3 linked regions of the Yarrowia lipolytica genome follow. The protein of the gene in region 1 interacts with the protein of each later gene in a pairwise test. Links are inferred from orthologs where the notes say so. Each region holds a gene or a part of one and is shown on either strand. Other genes may lie near its edges. The genes, in order: YALI1_D14609g, YALI1_A19483g and YALI1_E08545g.

What was found.
Region 2: the proteins of YALI1_D14609g (region 1) and YALI1_A19483g interact in binary tests that used the Saccharomyces cerevisiae proteins (3 or more experiments, as listed by UniProt). The link is inferred for Yarrowia lipolytica from reciprocal best matches to the Saccharomyces cerevisiae genes RPT3 and RPN12.
Region 3: the proteins of YALI1_D14609g (region 1) and YALI1_E08545g interact in binary tests that used the Saccharomyces cerevisiae proteins (3 or more experiments, as listed by UniProt). The link is inferred for Yarrowia lipolytica from reciprocal best matches to the Saccharomyces cerevisiae genes RPT3 and RPN9.

What each region holds. Positions count from the first base shown.
Region 1 is NC_090773.1:1,459,081-1,462,887, forward strand, and holds YALI1_D14609g (uncharacterized protein), read right to left. Parts: upstream 1,872-3,807; coding exon 657-1,871; downstream 1-656. Other genes in the region: YALI1_D14585g (uncharacterized protein), read left to right, coding at 1-235; YALI1_D14628g (uncharacterized protein), read right to left, coding at 2,529-3,807. UniProt on the Saccharomyces cerevisiae protein: The 26S proteasome is involved in the ATP-dependent degradation of ubiquitinated proteins. The regulatory (or ATPase) complex confers ATP dependency and substrate specificity to the 26S complex.
Region 2 is NC_090770.1:1,946,525-1,949,647, reverse strand, and holds YALI1_A19483g (uncharacterized protein), read right to left. Parts: upstream 1,405-3,123; coding exon 619-1,404; downstream 1-618. UniProt on the Saccharomyces cerevisiae protein: Acts as a regulatory subunit of the 26S proteasome which is involved in the ATP-dependent degradation of ubiquitinated proteins. Necessary for activation of the CDC28 kinase.
Region 3 is NC_090774.1:852,548-856,250, forward strand, and holds YALI1_E08545g (uncharacterized protein), read left to right. Parts: upstream 1-1,935; coding exon 1,936-3,201; downstream 3,202-3,703. Other genes in the region: YALI1_E08530g (uncharacterized protein), read right to left, coding at 1-507; YALI1_E08575g (uncharacterized protein), read right to left, coding at 3,382-3,703. UniProt on the Saccharomyces cerevisiae protein: Acts as a regulatory subunit of the 26S proteasome which is involved in the ATP-dependent degradation of ubiquitinated proteins.

The sequences.
Region 1 (3,807 bases):
GAAGGTAGACATCAAGGAGACTAGCAAATCTACAAGTGCTCCCACGGCCACTGTGATCTCTTCGGCCTCAGCAGCCTCAGCAGACTCTTCCAGCTCTCCCACTTCGGAGAAACACAAAAAGCCAGAAGTTATTGATCTGGACGACTCTCCTCCTTCCACACCTAGAGTCAAGAAGAAGAAGAAGAAGCCCGAGGTTCAAGGAGACTCTGAGTTTGAACCGATTCTGCTGGATTAAGGGACGAGTATGCGAGTGCAGCAACTCGAGTGGACAACATCTCTTGTCTGTGTATGAAAACCGCTGGCCTTTGATCTAGGTTCTCCAATTTTCAATGGGAAGTGCTCAACGGATCATCAGAAACAGGAAATAGGCGTGTTGAGTGAATCACGTGACATCCTTTATGGTGTTCTCATTGTTACTGAATCGTTGTCATCTCGTCCTAATACATGGTTTTGTACCTCGTCAGCGGGCCTAGACGAGTATAGTTAACTAAATGGTCTTATGAGAATTAATTACTTGTGAGTAATTTTAAAAAAACTTATCCCGATTTTCACGAGTCACATCAACTGTTTTATCATTCTAAGCATGAAAATGCAATGTATATACCTATAACTTCCCGCTCCATCTCCCTGCGCTGTCTATGGCACTCGCAAGTGGTTTACTTGTAGAACTCAAACTTGTCCTTGTCGCTTCCCACCTTGACCTGGGCAGAGTAGGCCTCCTCCAGATCGCTCTGGATGATGACGTATCGATTCTTTCGAACGGCCCGCAGACCGGCCTCCTGCATGATGGCCGCGATGATGGCACCAGAAAGAGGGTCGTTTCGAATGATGAGAGCGTCCAGGTCACACTCGGGAGCCAGAGACATCTTGGAGGCGATGGTGGAGAAAATCAGACGTCGTTCTCGGCGGTCTCGCAGGTTGGGGAACTCGATCTTTCGGTCCAGTCGACCGGGACGCAGCAGAGCAGGATCCAGTGTGTCTGCTCGGTTGGTGGCCATGATCACCTTGACGTTGGAGGTCTGGTCGAAACCGTCCATCTGGTTGAGCAGCTCCAGCAGGATACGCTGGACCTCTCTGTCGGCACCGGTCTGTGCATCGAAACGCTTCGTGGCGATGGCGTCGATCTCGTCGATGAAAATGATGGATGGCGAGTTTTCTCGGGCCAGTCGGAAAATGTCTCTGACCATTCGAGGACCCTCTCCCAGATACTTTTGCACAAACTCGGAGCCCACCACTCGAATGAACGATGCCGTGGTGTTGTTTGCCACCGCCTTGACCAGCATGGTCTTGCCGGTTCCAGGAGGGCCAAAAAGCAGAACACCTCGAGGAGGATCAATACCAATCTGTTTGTAGAGCTCAAATTGTGTTAGAGGCAGCTCCACAGCCTCCCGGATCTCCTGCTTCTGGATGTCAAGGCCTCCCACGTCGGCGTAGGAGACATCGGGCTTCTCATCAGGCCGCAGCATGGCGATAGACGAATCAGCCTCCGGAGGCAGAATGTCGACCAGCGCGTTGGAGTGTCGATGCAACGCCACCGATGACGAGGGCTTGAGCAGCTCCCGATCGAGTGTGGACAGGATTCTCACGACATAGTTGGAGCCGGTGGTGGACGCCACAATACCTGTTTGTTGATCAATGGGCTCCAGAAACTGTCCAATCACCAGTGGCACCGACTGGATCCGCTTGACCTCCTCCTGGGCTCGCACCAGCTCGCGCTTCAGGTGGCGCTGCTCGTCTTTGATGTACTCTTCCTGAAGAGAGATAAGTTCGTATTCCCGCTCCAGCTGCTTCAATCGACGGTAATAGTCCTCGGGGGTCGCCGAGGAAGGTAGAGAATGCTCGCCGGCAGGTTTCGCAATTTCTATGGTCATTTTTCAGGTCGGTTGAAGAGAGATTGTATGTGTTGTTGTGTCAAAGAGTTGTGTGGTAATGGGTGAGGTGGTGATTGCCTTTGGGCACGGGTCAACCCTAACCCTGTGGCGTCTTGGAGAAGAGGTGGGAAATGAAGCCGAAAGGGGGGGGCTTATTGGAATAGATTGATGACACAAGGGGAGATATCAGGTCGTTTAAATAGTTTCTGTCTTTTTATATTCTTTATCAAGAAAGTAATACGTGAGTTAGATGTCCTGTTATGTTCTACTTCTTCATGACCAACTATAATGTATATGTTTTGTTGAGGACAATAAGTAAAACTTCAATCTCGCCAAGTTTTTTTTTGGTTAGACTGCAAGTTGGTTTTGTGGTAGTTTTCGATACGCTCTTTCGTTTACTGAAGTGTTCAACCTTCCATATTGCAATATCAGGACAGTGTGTCCAGGTTAAGGATTCTACCAATAGGCCATGTGTACACGGTCAAAGGAGGCATTTGTAATACTCTTAAGAGCTATTGAGTATGTATGAACTCATCGATAGTGAACTTGTACTAATAGTTTACAGCGTCTTTTACCATCTACAATAATACCCATGCGTATCTCATTGCAATATAGCCCTACCCAGGTACACGGTCCTATTCACTCCGTCTCCCCTCATCATGCCACCACCTCAGGCTCCTTATCGAAATGAACACTTCGGGTTCTGGTTCGAGTTCGCTCCTTCTTCTCCTCCTTCATCTCCTTGCGCTTGTGCTCAATGGTCCAGTTGGACACCAGCTCGTCCAGGTATTCCATCTCCTCTCTCTCCTCCCTCTTGCACCGGGTACAGTTGCAGTTGAAGCCCCAGTTGACTCGCAGATTGTATCGTCGGTCATCCAACTGGTGCTCAGGGTTTACATACGTGGTGAACAGTTCTTCTCCGGTCTTGATATCTCGCTTGGCACGCACAGAAATGCCCTGCGTTCGGCCCACGTTCTTGACATCCACATTGGGTTCGCACGAGTGGTTGAGATGACTCTGGGTTAAGTACATGTTTCCGTCCACGTTGTTAATGTTGAACATGCCTAGTCCGGGCAGAAAGTCCTTCTCGTAAGAAAACTCCGTGTCCAATAGTAGCTTGTCCAGCATTTCGTAGCCCTTCTTCCACAGCACCTCAGACTGCTCGGACGCAAACAGTGAGTTGGACTGCTCCACGGCCTTGTGGCGCTCATCCTGGCCGACCCGCGCAAACGCCATCATCTGCTTCTGCACCTCGTCCTTTTTAGGGTCTCTGATGACCCGCAGCCACAGTAGGCCCAGAGCATACAGAGCCATCCAGCCATTTTCCACACAGAAGTCCTCAAAGGCACGCCACTCCACCCTCGTCACTTTCCCATGCCTACTCTCGTGCCACATGGCCACATGAGTGACGTCCTTCTTCTTGCACTGGTTGTCGCACCACTTGGCAGCACAAGACGGACATTCCACTCCATTGTGCGACTGGAAGGGCCGCGAACAAAAGGCACAGCCCATGCCCTTACGCATGATACCAACATGCTCCAGAGGAGGAACCAGCAGAAACGCCTGCTCGTTCCACAGCTCCTCGTCCTTCTTGATATCCTTCTTGGCATATAGGCCCTTGCCTCGGTTCTTGGCAATGTTGAGGGTCACTTTTTCAGGCATATCGAGCCCTGGAGTCGCGTGCGACATAATAGACCCCGCGTAGCAGAACTTTTCCTGGTTCAGACCCAGGTTGGCAGCCTTCATAACCGTCTTGACTCGCTTTTCACTCAACTGCCAGTCCGAGTGGGTCAGCTTCACCAGTCCTGTGAGCTTCGCGGCCCCGAGCTTTTCGGTGGCCTTGTCTTTGCGCCAGATGTCGACCACGGCCTGGACGATTTCTCGGTCGTTGGGTACGGTGCTCATTAGTGATATCGGATGGTAGTCGTAGGAGCTC
Region 2 (3,123 bases), on another chromosome or scaffold:
TTTTCCTACTAGGCACTCTCAGTAGTGAAACACACATTGTACCCTCCCGAGATCAGAGAATACGCTGATACTGGGTTGTTTCTGCTTATACATTCATTTATTTCCGTGACGCCATTTTATTTAGACAACGGCTGTTGTTACAATACCCAAGTAAACTCAAGTAAAATGTGACTTGGGTCAACTAATCCTCCATCACCTCAAACGACCCTTATCACGATCCACAGACATTCCATGGATAAGTAGATACAAGTAGTATCAATCTGTTGCACTGGTCTTGCCCATTTTGTTTACATCAATTATTTGTAATAAAACACAGACAGTCGAGTGAGACGTGACCACAAGTACAACAGTCGACCTACAACATGCGTATGTACATCGTCCTACGACAATTCACCTTAGAAGGACACTAGATGAGAGACGGCGGTTTCCTCATTCAATACACGTACCGTACTATCACTACACACTTTCTGCTCATTATAATATGCATCATCTAGAACAATTCATACTTCATCATGGTCAGGCCAGATCACAGATGGTAGTGACACTGAGATCCTCGCCGAACCGGTACTGTACCGATAGATTGTTGTTTCCGTATCGTATCTCCGATTTGTCGCTCCCTTAGATAATCTGCTCCATCTCCTTGGCGTACTCCAACGAGTTTCCAATCAGTTTCTCGGTCACCTTTCTGCTATTCAGAGTGGCGTCCTCGCTGATAACACCCGGGAAGGTGATTCGCTCACCGTGGATCTCCCAGCCAGGCTGCTCCTGCACAAAGTCCACCACGCCCTGGTCCGAGTCGAAAAACAGCAAATGTCGAGCATTGTTGAGAGGCAGCGAGGTGTATGCCTTTTCGGCGCACAAAGCAATTTCACCCCGGATGGCAAATACTAGAGGGTCGGCGAAACAGAGAAACTCGGAGCTGGGAACAGCGTCCTTGTTGGTGATGGCCTTCCACACCCGGTCGTAGGCTCCCTCCATGATCCATCTCTCTAGCTTAATGGGGAACGATAGAAACTTGTCGTTTTCCACCGTGTCAAAGTCCAACGACTCCAGCTCGGTGTGGAACTGCGCAATTTCGTTCTGCGACAGCAGCAGCAGCAGATAGAGCGCCACAATCTTGGACTCGTGGGGCGACGCAGAAAGACCCTGGATGCCATAAAACTGCCGCGATTGCGCCACAAACCTGGTGAATTCGGCCTCTTTGCCCAGATTGACGGCAGACAGAGCGCCAATCTCGAGCGCCGTTCGAGCTGCCTCCAGGTCCGCCTTTGAATGACCAGACGAGTTGGGCGACGTCAGAAGCCCGCTTTTGGCCATGTCCACCTTAAGGGGCAAAAGCAGCTGCTCCACCTTTTCGTAGTCGCCGGCCTTGTATGCGCTTTCCAGAGATGCGATTGGAGACATTGTCGTTGTGATTGCGGTTGTGTGGTTGAGTGGTTGAGTGGTGCTGGATCGTGTCACTACAGTTAGGTTAAGTGGCGATGTGCATGCACATAGAGGTTAAGAGTATGCGAAAAGGCGGAGTGAAGGGGGTCATTATCGGCTCCACAAGAGGGGGAGATGGAGTTTTTAGGGCCCACAGATGAGTTGAGTGGTATTGATTGCCACCTGCTTAGTCATACATGGGCTGGGGGTGTCATGGATCTGGACTGTTGATGACATGCGATTAACTGGCGGTATGGGCATCTGGGAGACGTGCAAATGATACCATTGGATATGGAAATATATGGCTCTTGATATGGTATTCTGGAGTTGAAGGAGTACCTCTGCTAAAGAGAACGGGTGAGGTTGTGAGACGAATAAGTGAGCTGGAGGGTAACGAAAGAGTCAGAAGTGGATTAGATGAGATTCGGAGTTGGTTGAAAGAGTCAGTTGGCCAATATTACCCCAGGATGTTCTTCTACGGTACAGTACATACTCGTTCAGTATCCAACTGAAAGCTGACTGATGGTGACGAACAAACAGCACCTTATAAGAGGGATAAGGACACGCCGAGAGATGATAAACTGATTGAAATGGGCATGAAAAGAAGGACGGATTTGTCAGATTTCCAATATCTCCTCTGTGGCGTGAGATAGATTCGTTGCTATTTGATAGACGACTGATGTATGTATAGTAGCCAGAAATGCCCGTTTAAGGAATTTTTCCGTTCCAATAATGCACTTGTAGACTTGACACCCGCTCTGTTTGTTACCTCCATCTTTTTTTTTGACCCAGGTCACACTACAAGTACTGCACTGTAGTAAAAGTTTTACTAACTGATCGTTACTTTTTGCCATGAGACAAGGGATTGGAGAGGGCTTCTAATGAGGCCAGTTTTGCCAATATGACGATAATTTTTTGACTGATCGAGAGCTATTGATTTGCTGATTCCAACCATAGTCTTTTCTAGTTTGTTGAGCCACCATTCTGTCCGTTGCATACGCCTTTTTATGTTCCTCCAATATGACGTAATTGTCATCTCTAAAAAACATCTTATTCCAATATTGACCATATAGGCCTTCCAAACAACTGGTATAGAAAGGGGTCAAAATGGCCGCGTTGCTCGAAACCTGTGCAATTCAATTTTCAAAATATATATAAAATCGACTCTTATCAAATCGGGGGTTTTCCCGATTCCAATCTATTTTACTCGATTTTTCTAATTCTGCCCGATATCACATCGTATCCAAGTGTATTGTACTCGCTCGTACATACTCGTACTCGTACTCGTCAAGACATCTGAAACACGTCACCCAAAGACAACAAAAGACACCAGCCAGTGCCGAGACAAGAGGCAGATGGTGCTTCTCTCAGGTACATGTGGAAATTGTGCAATCGGAGTTCTACAGAGTACAAGTACCGCTGGTTGTGCCACTTGTAGTACAACTGTTCTCTCTTGCTCTCCTGTATAGCAGGGTATATATACTCTCCAAGTGCAATACCACCATGTTCCCGCATGAGAGTCGTCAAAAATATACAGATTACACCCATCGGAAGGAGTCACGTGACCTCCACACACTCATCCCCCCACCCCAACGGACTTGTCCCGCTCTTTCTGGCTTATCTCCTAATCTCAAGAAGCGCGCCGAGTTGCTCGTATGTGGGAGGGTTGCCATTGTGGATGCATGGGGTATGCGTGGC
Region 3 (3,703 bases), on another chromosome or scaffold:
TTCGTTGAAAAGCTTGAGAGGGCAGATTCGAGGCTTCTCTCGCTTGAGCTGTAACGCGCAGGTTCGGCAGTTGATGCTGTCCTTGGGTGCTGTTGGGCTCTGAAGCAGCCACTTGGGCTTCAATTCGACCGTATATGACTCCCAGTTGTCGCTGTAGTTGATTTTGACTGCGTGGGACTTGAGCACGTTGGTTTCATTTGGTTTAGGCCCCAGGTTCTCCATGAGCAGACCCAGGGGCTCTCCGAGATCGAGATTCTCGGCCTCGGGAAGCGACTCGAGGAACCCCAGAGGCAGATTCACAACTGTATAGTGAAACAGAAAGGGGCCAATGGCCGGTCGGATTGTTCCAGTTAGATACTCGTCCACCTCGGCTGTGGAAGGGGCGTTTCGGTTTCGTCGCAGTCGCAGAAGCAGATCGGTCTCATCGCTCTTGTAAACCACGTTGGCGTTACCTGCCGTTAACAGGGTCCATTTGTAGGGAGGCAGCGGTGTCGGTAGCGAAGACATGATGGTAGTTGAATCATGAGAGTGGATTTCCGAACGCTATAGAGTTGTATATGAGGGATCTGGTTAAGGTTGATAGAGAAGAGCCAGAAGTTTAACACGTGTTGGGGGAGAGAAGGGGTGACGAAAAAAGGGGTGGGGAAGGGAGGTTTTGGTGGCGTGAAAAATGGAATCAATATAAGTCGAGATTTGGAATTAAATTCATATTTTAGAATTGTTATACGAATCCCATAACCCCCCACTACCGTGACCCCTCTAGTACAGTATTATTCACAGTTGACGTGTACATGCACAAGTACAATCAAGTACTCCATGCATTGTCAAAACTATAAATAAATGTATAATGAAAAACATGTTCGAGTTTGAAAGCAGTCGGGTGCAACGATGACTAATTTGTGTTGTTTGGGGCAGTTCTAGTAGCAGAAGTGCCTGTAATCTGTTTCGCTTCACCCACAAGTATCTATGATTGCCCCCTTACTCTGTTTTTGGCCCCTATTTGCCACTCTTCAGACCTTTGACAAACTCACATGTACAATGATGTCAACCTAACGACGTCTGGGCTTTACATCTGATACATTTCATTTGAATAATGAGAGTTTTAAAAGTTTTAGACAATCAGTGAAAAAATAAACGAGTAAAACTTTCGGGAGAAACGCCTCTGGATGATTTTGGAACCCATCTGGCGAGCTTTTAACAGCGTGGAAATACGGTCGGATCGTCTCACGTGATACACGATAGAGATGCATGGAAGTGTCCGCGTACTACAGTTCAAGTTATGGCTATAGTGCAAGCTTAGGATGACAAGAACTCCAGAAATGGGCTGAACTCAATAGAAGCATAAAACCGTTTCGAGGACTGGCCTGCGTTTGATTGTATCAGAACAAGCCGCAGATTATTCCAGGGATGAGAAGAAGAGGTATCAGAAGAGCTACAAGACAAGGACAGCTCGAGTAGAATCAGGTGATCAGGGGCTTTCTGCTAGTACCCTAAATAATGTACTTCTTCTCATGAGGGGATGTTGGTAAGTAAATGATATTGCTTGAGGATAACTGATACCGAATGAGTACAGCAGTCTAGTAGTGAAGGAGTTATGGAACTCTTCTATATTTTTTACAATAGCTGTACACAAGTACTATTTACTTGTACTTGTAATTACAGTGATCTAGATCACAAAACGGCACCCTCCTTTAAATGTGATGTTTGCGGGAATTGAACCTAAGATGTTATAACATTCGGTTAAGTAATTAATTAACTTAAGGTCAACGAGTCATCGGCCATTACTTTAGGAATTATTTCCTCTCCAACACCATGATTTGATATCAGTCCGAAGTTTTGAAAAGATTTTATGGCATTACAACACCCTCTTTTATAATCCACATACTTTTTTTTACAATTACTAGTCATAATTGCCACAATAATCAGGCTCCTCTAATGGCCACCTATCTACTACTAAACCTTAATCCTTGCCAACCTTACCCACCAACATCACCATTGCCACCCACACTGCACAATCAATCACACGACATCACAATTGCGACAATGGAAATAGACAACGACGTGCCCACTATCCTGGCTACTCTCCGAATGGAGGCCGATCCCGAGCTGGCCGCAACTTTCTACTCGTTGGAAGATCTGTGGGAGCGAAAGCTGTGGCACCAGCTGACAGATGCGCTGGCCGAGCTGTACGCAGACCCCCGATCCAAGCCTCTGCGACTGCGAATCTTCACGCAATTCATCCAGGTTTTTGAGCGCAACTTGAACCAGCTGAAACTGGTCATTTTCGGAGTGCTGGCAGCTGCCCAGTGCAATAACGACGAGGAGACCTTGGGCTTCCTCACCAGCCTCGCAGATAAGGTCAGCCACAAGCCCGACACCCAGGATGCGTACGTGTACGCCCAGATTGAGATTGCACGAGTCAAGCTGCGTCTCAAGGACATGGATGGCGCTCGAGAGGTGCTCAACTCCGTCACCGGCACCATCGACTCTCTGAACTCTGTCGATCCCATCATTACCGCCGCCTACTACGGCGTCAACGCCGACTACTATCTTTCCAAGGGCGACTTCAACACCTACTACCGTAACGCTCTATTGTACCTGGCGTGCATCGATCTGTCTACTTTGTCGGTGGAGGCCGTCCAGAAGCGAGCCCATGAACTGTCTGTGGCAGCCCTGTTGGGAGAGAAGATTCACAACTTTGGAGAGCTGTTGCTGCATCCCGTACTGGACAGTCTGAAGAACACAGAGTACGCTTGGTTGCGAGACCTGCTGTTCGCACTGAACCAGGGCGACATCTCCGAGTTTGAGAAGCTCACATCGCAGCATGTTTCCAAGCTGCCTCCTCTCGAGGCCGCCATGCCTCTGCTGCGACAAAAGATCTGTCTGACAGCACTGACAGAGGCTGCCTTTAAGCGACCCACCAACGACCGAACTCTGACCTTTGCCGCAGTGGCAAAGGAGACTCAGCTGCCCGCAGACGAGATTGAGCATCTGGTCATGAAGGCGCTGTCGTTGGAGCTCATCAAGGGCCACATTGACCAGGTTGCTCAGACCATCACTATCACATGGCTGCAGCCCCGAGTGCTCAACAAGCAGCAGATTGCCGACATGAAGCAGAGACTCGACCAGTGGGACGCCAACGTCAAGCAGTTGGGTGGATGGATTCACGACCGAGGTGAGGGTGTTTGGCTGGAGGCTTAGGCACAGGTGACTTATAGCATGTATGAATAGATGTATGATCATGACACGTGTAATCAGCGGAGTATCTGCCTGGTGGGCTCTACTATCTCTAGCAGCTACAATGTAGTATCTCCTGCGTGTGGCGGTCACTCTATAATACCAATATAATGATTCGATCAATAATAAATATACATAAATAATCTACTCGACGGACTTGTCGCTCTGAGCGGGGTCCGTCTGGTTCATCTTTGTTAGCTGAGGAACTCCCTCAACCTCCATACCCTCGAGCTCCAAGTTGCTCTGAGGTCCTTCAAACCACTTGTGGGCCCATCCAAAGTAGTAGATGAGCGAGCCAGCCCACACGGCCACGTTAATGACACAGGTGTAGTTCATGTTGTCCTTGTTGGGGTTGGGTCCCTCCAGAGGGAACATCAGCAGACAGATGGCAAAACACAGGTAAAGCACAGCAAAAGTCGAAACACACTTGGAGATCACACGACCAAGGTAGAAGGGTCCAGGCACG